2 linked regions of the Drosophila melanogaster genome follow. The protein of the gene in region 1 binds, or shares a complex with, the protein of each later gene. Each region holds a gene or a part of one and is shown on either strand. Other genes may lie near its edges.

The links. Proteins that work in one complex are often made in the same cells at the same time.
Region 2: the proteins of pAbp (region 1) and Unr are in contact, whole or in part, in a crystal structure (PDB 7ZHR), measured with the Drosophila melanogaster proteins. Residues at the interface, in NP_476667.1 of Drosophila melanogaster: Asn184, Tyr186, Lys188, Ser211, Lys213, Met215, Phe225, Phe227, Ala229, Tyr255, Ala257, Arg258, Ala259, Gln260, Lys261; in NP_648226.2 of Drosophila melanogaster: Leu843, Glu844, Thr845, Thr846, His847, Asn848, Gly849, Val850, Glu870, Ile871, Leu872, Asp873, Glu874, Thr878, Val879, Ile880, Ser881, His883, Leu902, Ile907, Asp908.

What each region holds. Positions count from the first base shown.
Region 1 is NT_033778.4:18,138,141-18,146,097, forward strand, and holds the start of pAbp (poly(A) binding protein), read left to right. Parts: upstream 1-1,937; 5' UTR 1,938-2,192; intron 2,193-2,636; exon of another isoform or gene 2,637-2,814; intron 2,815-3,234; exon of another isoform or gene 3,235-3,276; intron 3,277-3,347; 5' UTR 3,348-3,366; coding exon 3,367-3,532; intron 3,533-4,661; exon of another isoform or gene 4,662-4,798; intron 4,799-4,859; exon of another isoform or gene 4,860-5,002; intron 5,003-5,038; exon of another isoform or gene 5,039-5,184; intron 5,185-5,272; coding exon 5,273-6,757; intron 6,758-6,826; coding exon 6,827-7,080; 3' UTR 7,081-7,134; intron 7,135-7,201; 3' UTR 7,202-7,957. Other genes in the region: Pcl (polycomblike), read left to right, coding at 1-633, 701-1,096.
Region 2 is NT_037436.4:8,438,665-8,443,419, reverse strand, and holds the start of Unr (upstream of N-ras), read left to right. Parts: upstream 1-1,712; 5' UTR 1,713-4,755. UniProt on the Drosophila melanogaster protein: RNA-binding protein that acts as a regulator of dosage compensation in both males and females.

The DNA.
Region 1 (7,957 bases):
CTTCCGAAAAGAGTTCCCAAAGATGTGTATGAGTTTAATACAGATGAAGATGACCCAGTCGAGACCAGCGAGGACGAAATACCCATCAAACAGATTATTGAGAAGGCCAAAAAGCAGGCCGCTCAGAAGGCCGATAAGCATGATGAGTTGCCACTGAAGCCGGACCTCGCCGACGACAATGCCAACGATGGCGATCCCGGCAAACTACCAGCTCCCATTCCACCTCTGCTGGACGCAAACAGCAGTCGGAAGCGCAAGGCTTTCCGATTGTCCAAACGCTATGACAACAGCCGCAATCACTGTGATCTATCATCCGACGAGAATTCAAGCAGCAGTCGGGGAACCAGTTCGTTGGACCTCATCATACCACCGCCGGTCAACTTTTTGGGACGCAACAATCCATTCCTTATGGCCACTCCCAAAAAGGCGTCGCAGGGACGAAGTATTTCTGTGGGAACTGGAGTCGGAGTAAATGGCATCATAAACAGCATTTTCAAGCTTAAGGGCACCTCCAAGGAGCAGCCGCGCATGGTGCGCACCATCAAGCGAAGACTGAGTGCCAAAGACATTACGATAGGGCCCAATCAGGAAGTGCGCAGACGACGCACTCGCCGCCTGACCACGGCCATTGAGGTAAGAGTTTAACTAACAACAATGTAACTATAATGTTTGAGATGTTTTTTTCGTTTCCACTTAATAGGTCATCAGCACCACCACCATCAATCCCATACCCAGCCACTACCTTCCTATCTATGCCAAAGATCTGCAGCCACCCGCGCCGCCAATGGGAAAGCCGACACATGGGCGCCTGTTGCGCCAGCGACCACAGAAGCAGTCACCCAGCCAAAGCCGCCGGAACTCCACCAGCTCGACGGCAACCAGCAGCAGCAGCAACGGCATTGGAGCCCCAGGACATTCCATGCTGGACTTGAAGCAGTCGGTGAACAAGTACTTTGGTGGCGCTATGAATCGCATAGATGCTGGTGAGCCCTTTGCCATTCGGGCCAAGCGGCGCATGGGAAATGGACAGGTCCAGTACCTGGTGGAGTGGGGCGGAGATACAGCGACAACGGCGATTGGATTGCTTGGAAATTGAACCCTTTGGCATACCGACTCATTATGAATTTTATATTCTTCATTTCCATTATCATTTCTTTTCGTTATTATGTATTAATGAACGCTGCCAACTACGGGCCTCTTTATTTGTTAATGTTTAAAAGTTTATTACCAACCCACTGCCAAAATAGAAAAAGATTGTTCAAAATATTGGTTCAGCATTAAAGCGATAAAATGTTAAATTGTAAAAAAAAAAAACGAAAAAAAAGCAAAAAGCAACTGAATACAGGTTATAATTGTGCAATGGCAGTTAAGTGTTGCAGCAGAACATAAATAAGTTTTCACAAAATTGGTAAAAGTATTACAAGATTAATCTGGAAGCCTATGTAAAATTCGCTGATGAATGAAAACGTATTAAATAATGAGAACAATTCAGTTAAGTTCAGTACTGTACTTTAGCGATACGCCACGCCCATGTATGTTTTTGAAAAATATACCTTCAAATGGGAAAACTCACAAATCATGTCATGCATACAAAAAAAAAACAATTGATATACATACATACACACAAATTTAATAAAATGTAGGACTAGTTCAATAATTTTCACCCATAGTCTAGGCAAAACTACACAATAATGAATTAAGCCAGTACGTTTTATGTTTAACTATTAAATGCTACGAAAAATCAAAATTGAGTTGAAAGCAAACTAATTCTCAAGCCAAGTAAATGTTTGGCCAAACCAGATCGAAATATGTTTAATGAAGTATATAATGCCCAAATAAATGTTTCCGAAATGTCAAATCTTTTAAGATTTTACTCAGGACACGCCAGTAGGCGCCCAAAGTGACACTTCGCTTTGAAGCTTGTCAGGCACCGACGCCTCACACCGCTTCATTAGGTACTCGATCGCCAGATAGGGCACATGCACCAGACGTTCAAAACGGGAAAAAGAAAAAAAAAATTATCCTCAGCCATCCTTGAATGTGGTCTATTTCGTAAAAACAAAAACACAAAAAAAAAACTTAAAAAATTCTTCAATCTCTGTAGTGCCGATTTCCATCGAGAACGAAAAGAAGTACTCAAGCACTTCTCGGAGTGTCGACTTGCAGCCTCATCGCTTTATTCTCTGATTTAGGTAAGTTCGCACAGTGGGGAATTACAAAGATGGGATTCGGTTTTCGGAGCATACGCTAATATCTGTGCAGTGCCAAAAAATCATTTTCTAAAAGTCTACGCTCATTTTTAAAAGAAAAAAAAACTGCATTCCTAATTTTGGATTGTGTTTTATGAGACAAAGTATTCAAGGACATTGGCGAAAATATCAGAACATAAATGAAGCAGAGTTACCAAAGAACCCCTGAAAATGCACAAGTATTTCATGTTTCGGGAATTAGCTAAATATAAAAATTTTTTATGTGTGATGGCTGGCTTTTTTGAAATTCAAAATAATGCTTCGTAATTAGTAAATTGTCCTCACGGATTTTTTAGTGACATTTATTTGTCTCTAACCCTATGTGGCAGCATTGTGCAGTGGGATTTAATCGATACTTTGTGGGGTCATCGCTAACGAATCTCCTCTCTATGAGTCGTGTAGAGTCCGTTTACGTGAGCGGTCGTGGATTCGCTTTCAGCACACGGCTTATCACATATTTTTTGTGAAGAAAAAACATATAAAAAATAAAAAAAAATATTAAAACACAAAAACGTAACAAAAAAAATTGTAAAAAGTAGCAAAAAAAATCGAGCGTGTTTGAGAAGTAAGTACAGTGTAAAGCTATTGGTTACAATGGTGTAGAGAGTGAGAGGGCGCAACGCACGACAAAGCGAATAGGGAAATTTTCCTTTCCCATCGAAATTTGCTTTGTTTGCGGTCGTTCTTCGCTCAAAGATGGCGTCTATAAACGCCAGATTGCCCGCAAAATAGTGGTCTAGGAACTAGTTGTCGCATATTTTCGAGAAAATCAAAGAATTCCCCAAAATTCGATCAGGCAAACGCGTGTCTATCTTTGTGTCTGTGTGGAAATTTTCCAACACGAAGAGAAATAAAAGGGGAGAGCAAAGAGCAACAACAAAGCAAATGCCAACGTTGCCATGTCTACCGACTGTCACATGTACCAGTGTTGCCACCCAGACACACAGACAGAGAGACGAATAGAAGACCGAAAGCCACGCCGCTTTTTTTCTTTCTATTTCACCGCCTGCCTGGTCGAATCCATCCGGTCCGTAAAGATTAAGAAAAAACCCAAAATTCAGTGTCAAAAAAGTGGAAATTAATTGTTAAAAATTGCAGGTAGACCTGATCACCAAATATGGCTTCTCTATACGTCGGTGATCTCCCACAGGACGTCAACGAATCGGGACTTTTTGACAAGTTCTCGTCTGCTGGTCCAGTGCTGTCCATTCGTGTCTGCCGCGATGTGATTACCCGTCGCTCGTTGGGCTATGCCTACGTCAACTTCCAGCAGCCAGCCGATGGTGAGTAATCCCCGCAAAAGTAGTGTAATTTTTTTAGTCTTACTGCCCGCAAAAGTAGCCCCCTTCCGCGCGAAACAAAGAAAACACGTGTGCAGTTTTGCACTCGCTTACTCACACACGCACGCACACTAGCGCATGTCATACAGTGGGGCTAAACGCAAGTCCAAACTGGACTTTATTGAAAGATGTCTTTCATAGGAGACCAGATAAACGGCTTCCAAGTGTTTCATAACTTGTTCCACAGTGCACTGCTTACGTTAATCTCGTCGCGCACACACACACGCACTCAATTCCCGCCAGTGTGTACACACACACACATGATTATATCAGTTCCAGTTATTCTGGATGTATACGATTTGTGCGGGGGGATGATGGGGGCTAAACAGCTGGCTCGTGGCACTCATCAACTGTTCGCCTAGAAATTTCCGTCTCAATTTCGCACAAAATTGCAATTATGATGGAATAATATGGTTCCATACTGCCCAAACTGCTTATCGCAGCCCCGCCCATTGGTGGTTTCATTGTTTCCTTGCCCGTTCTTCTCGTTTTATTCGTGTGATGTGTGTTGTTTCCAAGCGGCAAACTTGCGCGCACGCACACGCCGACGCGCAAAAACATGTGTTCATTGTTGTTTGGACCATTTCTTTTTGGCCTTCATCTATTTTAGGTTATATTCCATTAACTGAGTTTCCGCACGTTCGCTCTTTAGTTTTCGTACTGCCTCCAACTTTTGTTTTGCTTTCACTTTCTCATATCTTCCATACTCTCCGCATTCCATCCATCAACACTTCCAAATTCTTGACATGTCAGTGAACTGCTTTTCGGCCTCTCTTTTAACCATCAAAATCTTGTTTTTACAAAAAACGAAAACAAAACTTTCACTGCGCATAGTTGGTGCTTCTTCGATTCCCGTTGTTCGCTTACATTTGTTTATTCAATTAAGCGCACAATGGCACAAAGCTGGCGGTTGGTGATGATTACGCTGCGTGTGAAAGTCTGTCGCATTCCAGCAAGTTTCTTGAACTCTAGCTGTTAAGGTTAGGTTGGAAAAACAGACCTTTCAAAAATGATACCATCTCGTTCTAGACTAGTAACACCCTAAATGTTTTTCTTTTTTCGATTCATATCTCGCAACTCCTACCCATTGGTTGGTCAGATTTATCTCTTTTTGACACGACTAAGATTCAATGTTGCCAGAGAAAGCAATGCAACTTACCATGTAGATGGCTGATCTATGCCATCCACAGAAGTAGAAGCATAACAAACACTAAATAATACATCATATGATTAGACTCGAAGGATTATGCCCTTTCTTATCTAAGCTTCTAGCAACTTCTACCCATTGGTTGGTCAGATTTAACCCATTTTGACACGACTAAGATTCATAGTTGCCAGAGAAAGCAATGCGACTTACCATGCTGATGGGTTTTGCATACCATCTGCATAACAAACACTCAATGTATCACATGATTAGACTGATAAGATTGTCCTTGTATTTAGACATCTAGCAACTCCTACCCATTGGTTGGTCAGATTCAACCCTTTTTGACACGACTAAGATTCATAGTTGCCAGATAAAAGATCAGACTTGACTTACCATGCACTGCGCTGCTTTTGCTCATGGCCAGTGCAGAAGTTGAAGAGTCACATTGTTATTTAAGCCCCTTCAACTTATAATGATCTTGATATACCCAAATCGTGTCGGTAGTAACCAAATGTTTTCCCGATTTTCATCAACAGCTGAGCGTGCTTTGGACACCATGAACTTTGACCTGGTTCGCAACAAGCCCATTCGCATTATGTGGTCTCAGCGTGATCCTTCTCTTCGTCGCTCAGGTGTGGGCAACGTGTTCATCAAGAACTTAGATAGGGCCATCGACAACAAGGCAATCTACGACACTTTCTCCGCCTTCGGCAACATTTTAAGCTGCAAGGTAGCCACCGATGAAAAGGGCAACTCAAAGGGCTATGGATTCGTCCACTTCGAGACCGAGGAGGCCGCAAACACGTCCATCGACAAAGTCAATGGCATGTTGCTCAACGGCAAGAAGGTCTACGTGGGTAAGTTCATCCCGCGCAAGGAGCGCGAGAAGGAGCTGGGCGAGAAGGCTAAGCTCTTCACCAATGTATATGTGAAGAACTTCACTGAGGATTTCGACGATGAAAAACTGAAGGAATTCTTTGAGCCCTACGGCAAGATAACCAGCTACAAGGTCATGTCCAAGGAGGATGGCAAGAGCAAGGGCTTCGGATTCGTTGCATTCGAGACAACAGAGGCTGCTGAGGCGGCCGTTCAGGCTCTCAATGGCAAGGACATGGGAGAGGGCAAGTCCCTGTACGTGGCTCGTGCCCAGAAGAAGGCCGAACGCCAGCAGGAGCTGAAGCGCAAGTTCGAGGAACTGAAGCAGAAGCGTCACGAGTCTGTGTTCGGCGTTAACTTGTACGTTAAGAACCTGGACGACACAATCGATGACGATCGTCTGCGCATCGCGTTCTCTCCATACGGCAACATCACATCGGCCAAGGTCATGACCGATGAGGAGGGTCGCTCCAAGGGATTCGGCTTCGTGTGCTTCAATGCCGCAAGCGAGGCTACCTGCGCCGTCACCGAGCTGAACGGTCGCGTCGTCGGCAGTAAGCCGTTGTACGTTGCTTTGGCCCAAAGGAAGGAGGAGCGCAAGGCTCATCTCGCCTCGCAGTACATGCGTCACATGACCGGCATGCGTATGCAGCAGCTGGGACAGATCTACCAGCCCAACGCGGCTAGCGGCTTCTTTGTGCCGACCCTTCCGTCAAATCAGCGTTTCTTCGGTTCCCAGGTGGCCACTCAGATGAGAAACACACCCCGCTGGGTGCCCCAGGTGCGTCCCCCAGCAGCCATACAGGGTGTCCAGGCCGGAGCTGCCGCTGCTGGTGGCTTCCAGGGCACAGCCGGTGCGGTGCCCACTCAGTTCCGTTCGGCTGCTGCTGGCGCTCGCGGGGCACAGCCTCAGGTGCAGGGCACACATGCCGCCGCTGCTGCGGCTAACAACATGCGCAACACTGGAGCACGCGCTATTACTGGCCAGCAAACTGCAGCACCCAACATGCAGATCCCCGGAGCCCAAATCGCTGGCGGTGCCCAGCAGCGTACTTCCAACTATAAGTACACCTCAAACATGCGCAATCCTCCAGTGCCACAGTTGCATCAGACCCAGCCAATTCCACAGCAATTGCAAGGAAAGAGTAAGTTTTAGGTCGACTGAAAATATGCACAATTTGTCACTAATGGCACCATTGCTATTTTTCTTGCAGATTCTGAGAAGCTCATTGCCTCGTTGCTGGCCAACGCCAAGCCGCAGGAGCAGAAACAGATCCTGGGCGAGCGTCTGTATCCGATGATTGAGCATATGCACGCCAATTTGGCTGGTAAGATCACCGGCATGTTGTTGGAGATCGAAAACTCTGAGCTCTTGCACATGATCGAGGATCAGGAGGCCCTTAAGGCCAAGGTGGAGGAGGCTGTGGCCGTGCTTCAGGTGCACCGCGTCACCGAGCCCGCCAACTAAGCTCGAACAGCTCAAGCGTATGAACATTTTACAAGAACACTTTACACCCAAAAAGTAAGTAGTCTACAAATTTTCCGAAAAGTTCAAGCTGTCTAAACTCGCCTCTCTTTTGTCCTTGCAGTTTTCCACTAATCTTTCAATACATGAACAACAAAAATTCGCATTCACTGATGCTTTGCGCAGGGGAGGATTGCCAAGGACACACAATTAACACAGAAAAACAAAGCGAAAAATCTACGGCTTTTTCTTTTCTAATCCCAGAAACATCAACAAAAGCAATTTCAATCATTTAATTTCGAACGCATTTACGCAAGTACACGAAGCAAAAGAAGAAAGTCACGCAATCAAATTCTGCAGTCCACTTATAAATTCTTTTTTTTTACATAAACATGTTAATTAAAAAAAAAAACGGAAAAATGTGAAATGAAAAAAATTTCGTTATTGCTTTAACTGGATCGATATTATTTTGTATGCGTATAATGAAAACACCAAAAAACCATTGCAAAATAAACAGATTAAAGCAAAGCATACATGTAAACCGCTTCTTGCAAGTATTGAAATTGTGTTTTAAAAATTTTAAAGAAGTTTCTAGTGTTACATACATATTGAGTTTTTCGTACACTTTTTCCATCCACACTTTCAAACAACAACAAACACGAAAGCGATATGTAATTTTTTTCAATTCTTTTTTCTCAAATTCAAACTTTAAGAAAGCTTTGTTTAGAAAAAGAAACGCGACAACCATACACTTTTAAAAAAGCAAAGAAAAAACAAAAAAATTGCAAAAGAGTTAAAATAAAAACGAAAAAATGGAAAGCAAACTGTGCAGAGAACAGAAGAATAGAAAGAAAGAAAGAAAAAGAAAACCGCAAGAATA
Region 2 (4,755 bases), on another chromosome or scaffold:
TAACCCTAAAATATGCAAAACCAGATGCAATTTAATGTGTGACCAAATCGAAGTGCTCGTAACGTAAAAATTATAAACATGATATTAAATCTTTTTAACTACAATTAGCCCGAGATTTATATTTAGCGAGGGCGTTTTGATAATCTATTCATGTTGATAACATTTTGCACTGTCGAATGTATAAAAGGCACCGTAACCAATTAACTAGATTTTGTAAATTGTAATCTTTAAAAATCTGTTCAAGGATAATCAATTTATCAGCATACATATGTATTGGATCCCATTATCATGCAAAATACCATTTAAGTTAATTATGGATTAAGCAACCAAGGAGCTGCTGAAATAAAATTCGTTAAAAGACCCAGGAAGACGTAAAACTAATGTGATTTTCTGTGGGCTGCTAAAAGGAATCTAAAAAAGGGATTTTTTGTGTTTTATGTTTTATGTGACAGAACTTCCGAAAATTAAGAATTAAACTAAGTGAATACACTTCTGCATTTTTGGGGGAATTCCAATTTTACAAAGATAATAACATATCTTCCATATTTATTTATCAGAACAAATAAAACTAGTTTCATTTTTTAAATCAATATATTGCCGCTTAATAAAAGGCGAAAAGATTTTGGGGTTGGCTTAAGTTAGAAATAGCTAGCGATGGTTCTTGTCTCGAATACGTACAGTTTAAAATTAAATATTTAGATGTAATTTTCTTAGTAATAATCCATTTAATTACATAAATTGCTTTTGTTTATTATTAAAACTAAGAATATTACATAAAAGTCACATACAATTCATATTTTATAATTTGCAGTGATAGCATAGAAAATGACATAGATGTATAACCCTGCACTTCTACTACTTTTAGACATTGCATTAAAGATAGTCCCTTTAACTGAATTAAAGTTAAATCGTTATCTTAGATAAGTTTTGATTATTTAAATATAGGAATAGAAAAGCTAAGAGATCCCTGCTCCTACTCCCATGACCACTGACGTCACAATTGTCCCTCTCTTCGCACACCTTCCAACACTGCCATCGTGCTGTCGGCAAATATGGCGCCCGCTAGCAGTTGTTGTGCTGTCGTGTGGTACGTGTGGCTGGTCCAGAAAATTCTCGTTCGCTTCAAATAGGACTATTATTTAACTCAAATTCGGAACGAAAATATGCAGAAAATGTGCCGCGAACAAAGCTGTGATGGAAAAATATGAAATGTGTTAGGGAAATTAGTTTTTAAATGGCGAATTAACGTTTTTTCGTTGCCCAGCCAGATTTTCTACGCTTCTGTGTGTGTGTGTGTGCGTTTGAGGGTACCAAATTTGCAGCCCGAAAAAAAAGTTGATGAAAATTCGTTTTTTTGCTACCAACTTGGCACTTCGGTGACTGTGCATGTGTGTGTGCAGTCTGCGGGGTTGCTAATTTTACGCTAAAAACCACAACAATAATGTGTAAAAATAGTTTACGATTGCAATTGCGTGTGCGTGTGTATGGGCGTGCATGTGTGTGTGCGTAGTAGGTTGCGCCAGTGTGTGTGCAATTTTTTCCGGCAGGCAAAAATCTCTCCATTTGCAACACTGAAAAATCGATAAAACTGCAGCAAGACTTTCGGTGTAGATTTCACTAGCCAAAAATAAAAGAAATAATAAAAAAGATGTATTAATTTTTCTTAATCGTTTCCACCTTTCTCTTTTTCTCATTCAACAGCTTTTGTAACTAAAACTCCGTTTTGACATCACTTTCATCATAATCTGAAAAAATAATAATAATATAAAAAAACAACAACAAATATGATAAAAAAATAAAAAAATCACCATCGAAAACGAATCAAAAAATAATACATACAAATATAAATCGCAAATAATTGAAAGTTACAGCAGAAATAAAAAACAACAACAACATAGCTCAAAAGGAAAAAGTCAAAGCAAAAACTTTTTAAGTTTTTTGGACTCTTCTTTGTTTTTGTTTCGTTTGCTTTGCAAAGAAAAACACACAAAACAGAAAAAACGAGAATTTTTACGCCGCCCGTCGGTGTGAGCGAGACAGACAGAGAGGGAGATAAAGCGACTGCGCAAATAAAAAAAGAAAACAAAACAACAAACAACATAAAAAACAAGCCAAGCTTGAAACGAAGACTTTCAAATAAAACAACAACAAAACCAACAACAAACCAAACAAATTGAAACGCTGTGAAATTAACTCGTCAATACTCAAAAGCACCAACAAATAAATAAACAAAAAGAAAAGCTAAAACAAAATAAAAGGCAAACCACGAAGGAGCAAGTAAAGCGGAGTTTAACAAGAAAACGGCAAAAGCACTGAAAACAAAAAAGCAACGGGAAACGAAACTAACGTGAAGTCAAAGGCAACGGCGCTGCGGCGTTCGGACTCTCGAATAAAACAAAAACAATTCAAGCAAAACCGCAAAACCTACACTTGGAAAAACGCTAAATAAATCCCAAATTCCTCATTATTTTTCCTGAAAAGCTTTAATTTAATTACGAATTTTTTGTTGTTAAGTCAGAGTGAATTCAATTTGCTAATTAATTTAAATTAAGACATCAACAACCGAGCTACAAAAGCAGCAACAACAACAAACAAACAACAACCAACAAACAACTGAATTAATGTTTTAAAGTACAAAATAACCGGGAGTAAATCAACAACAAATAATTTAAACATATTAAAAACGATTTAATTTAAAACGCAACATCAATCTAAATTATTTAACTAAACATAAAAACAAACACTGCTAGAATTTAAGTCCAAAAACAACTGATAAACGCCCACAAGGGCGAAAGGGAAGTGGGAGACAGAGCGATAAATGGAGGAGAAGCGAGGAGAGCTGAATAAAACCGATCAAGCAACAATTGTGCCGCAAAAAAAGTGTGAATAAAAAATATATACTAAAAAAATAACGGTAACAATAAAGAAAACATTTAAAACCAAAAATCTACAAGAATTCTATAAGTTTTAAGTCACGTTTTACACAGACCTACAACAACAACACCAGCAATTGAACTTAGCCAATAAATTTAATTAAAACAATAAATTAGTGAAAAAAAAATAAACGGATTAAGCCAATATATATAGAGAACGCATAACAAATTCAAAACTGCGGCCTTGTGCCAAAAAAACAGTTTTTATTTTTTCCAATAAAACATTGTTTTTTACTAGTTTTCAATTCAGATTTTTTTATAAGTGTACCTAGTGAGAAATGTTAAAAGTCTAAAACAGCAAAAGCAACTGCAACAAACGGAAGTAAAACGGAGAAAAGAAAAACAAAACAAATTCAAAGAAAGATTTAACAACTCTGTGATAATTACTGTAAATTTATAAATTTAAAGAAAAAAAAAAAACAAAAACCTAAAGAAAAACCACAAAAAAATCTCTAATTAAATGAAAGGAAAACCCCGTCATTTTTAACAGTAGGCGAAGAAGAAGAAGGAGCGAAAGAGGAAGCAGAAAGCAGAAAAACATCTTAAACCAACAACAACTTTACACTTAAGAGCAAATGCAAATGAAAAGATAAAAAACATTGAAACAAATTCGTGATATCTTAAAGGACTTCGATACATATATACTATAGTATATTATATATTATATTATATAAACTATTAAACTAAGCTTAAATCTAGTGAGCGTCAACCGAGAAAACAAAAACAAAACAATGGAATAAGTGAATAAACAACAAAACCAACCAACACAAAGCAAAAAATAAAAACCCTAGGTTATGAAAAGACTTCAAAACGCATTCAAAAAATATATATATTTAAACAAAACAAAATAAATCGTAGACTTAAAGTTCAACATAGTAAATGAGCGAGGATAACTTTACATAACGGGTGTCCTATATCTATTATATACATATATAAAAACAAAAACAAAAAAACATTAAAACTCATAATTTTTGCTTAGTGAATAGTAAATGAAACAGCAATAAAACAGCAACAAAACAACAAAAAAGAAAAAACAAATTATACAAATCGTGCAACCGAAAAGTAATAGCAACGTACAGCGAAACAAAATAGGAAATCGACACAGAAAGAAAGAAAGATACAGAGAGAGAGTGAGCGAGGAACCGGAAACGGAAGTCCCGAGAAGAGGAAGAAGGAGATTTAAACCTCGTCCCCCAAAAATCATCGTTGTACTAAAGGTATTCGAAAGTAAATAAAAAATCACTACTACTTCCTATAAACCACAACGATTGCCTACAAAATATATATTATATATATGTATACTAAATAGAAACCAATATAATCAAGCAAAACACACAAAATATTCAAATATCAAACAAAGCTAATCTAACCCAAAAGTAAAAAGTATTCCCAGTGTATTTTTCTAGTAAAACTAAAGTAAAAATATAAAAAAAAATCAACCAAATTCATTTCAAACAAAATGCAATAATTCAATAATAATTCAAAACTCGAACAAAAATAAAAACACCAACGGCAGCAGAGCTGGTGTGCATTTTCATCGTAAAACCACAATATTTTGAATACACAAAACAAACAAAAAAAATATTTCAAGAACAACAACTTTAAAAAGAAATACAACCTACAACAGACCCAGGAAGGAACTTCAAACTACCAAAACAAACCAACAACGTTACAATATTTGTCGGCATTTTTTACAAGAAATATAAAAACACAAAACAACAAGGAACACAAAAAACCAACAAACAAACAAACCAACAACAGCAAAGGAAAGCTAAGTAAAACAACCACATTTTTTGCGGGGAATGCCCTCAAGAAAAGACAA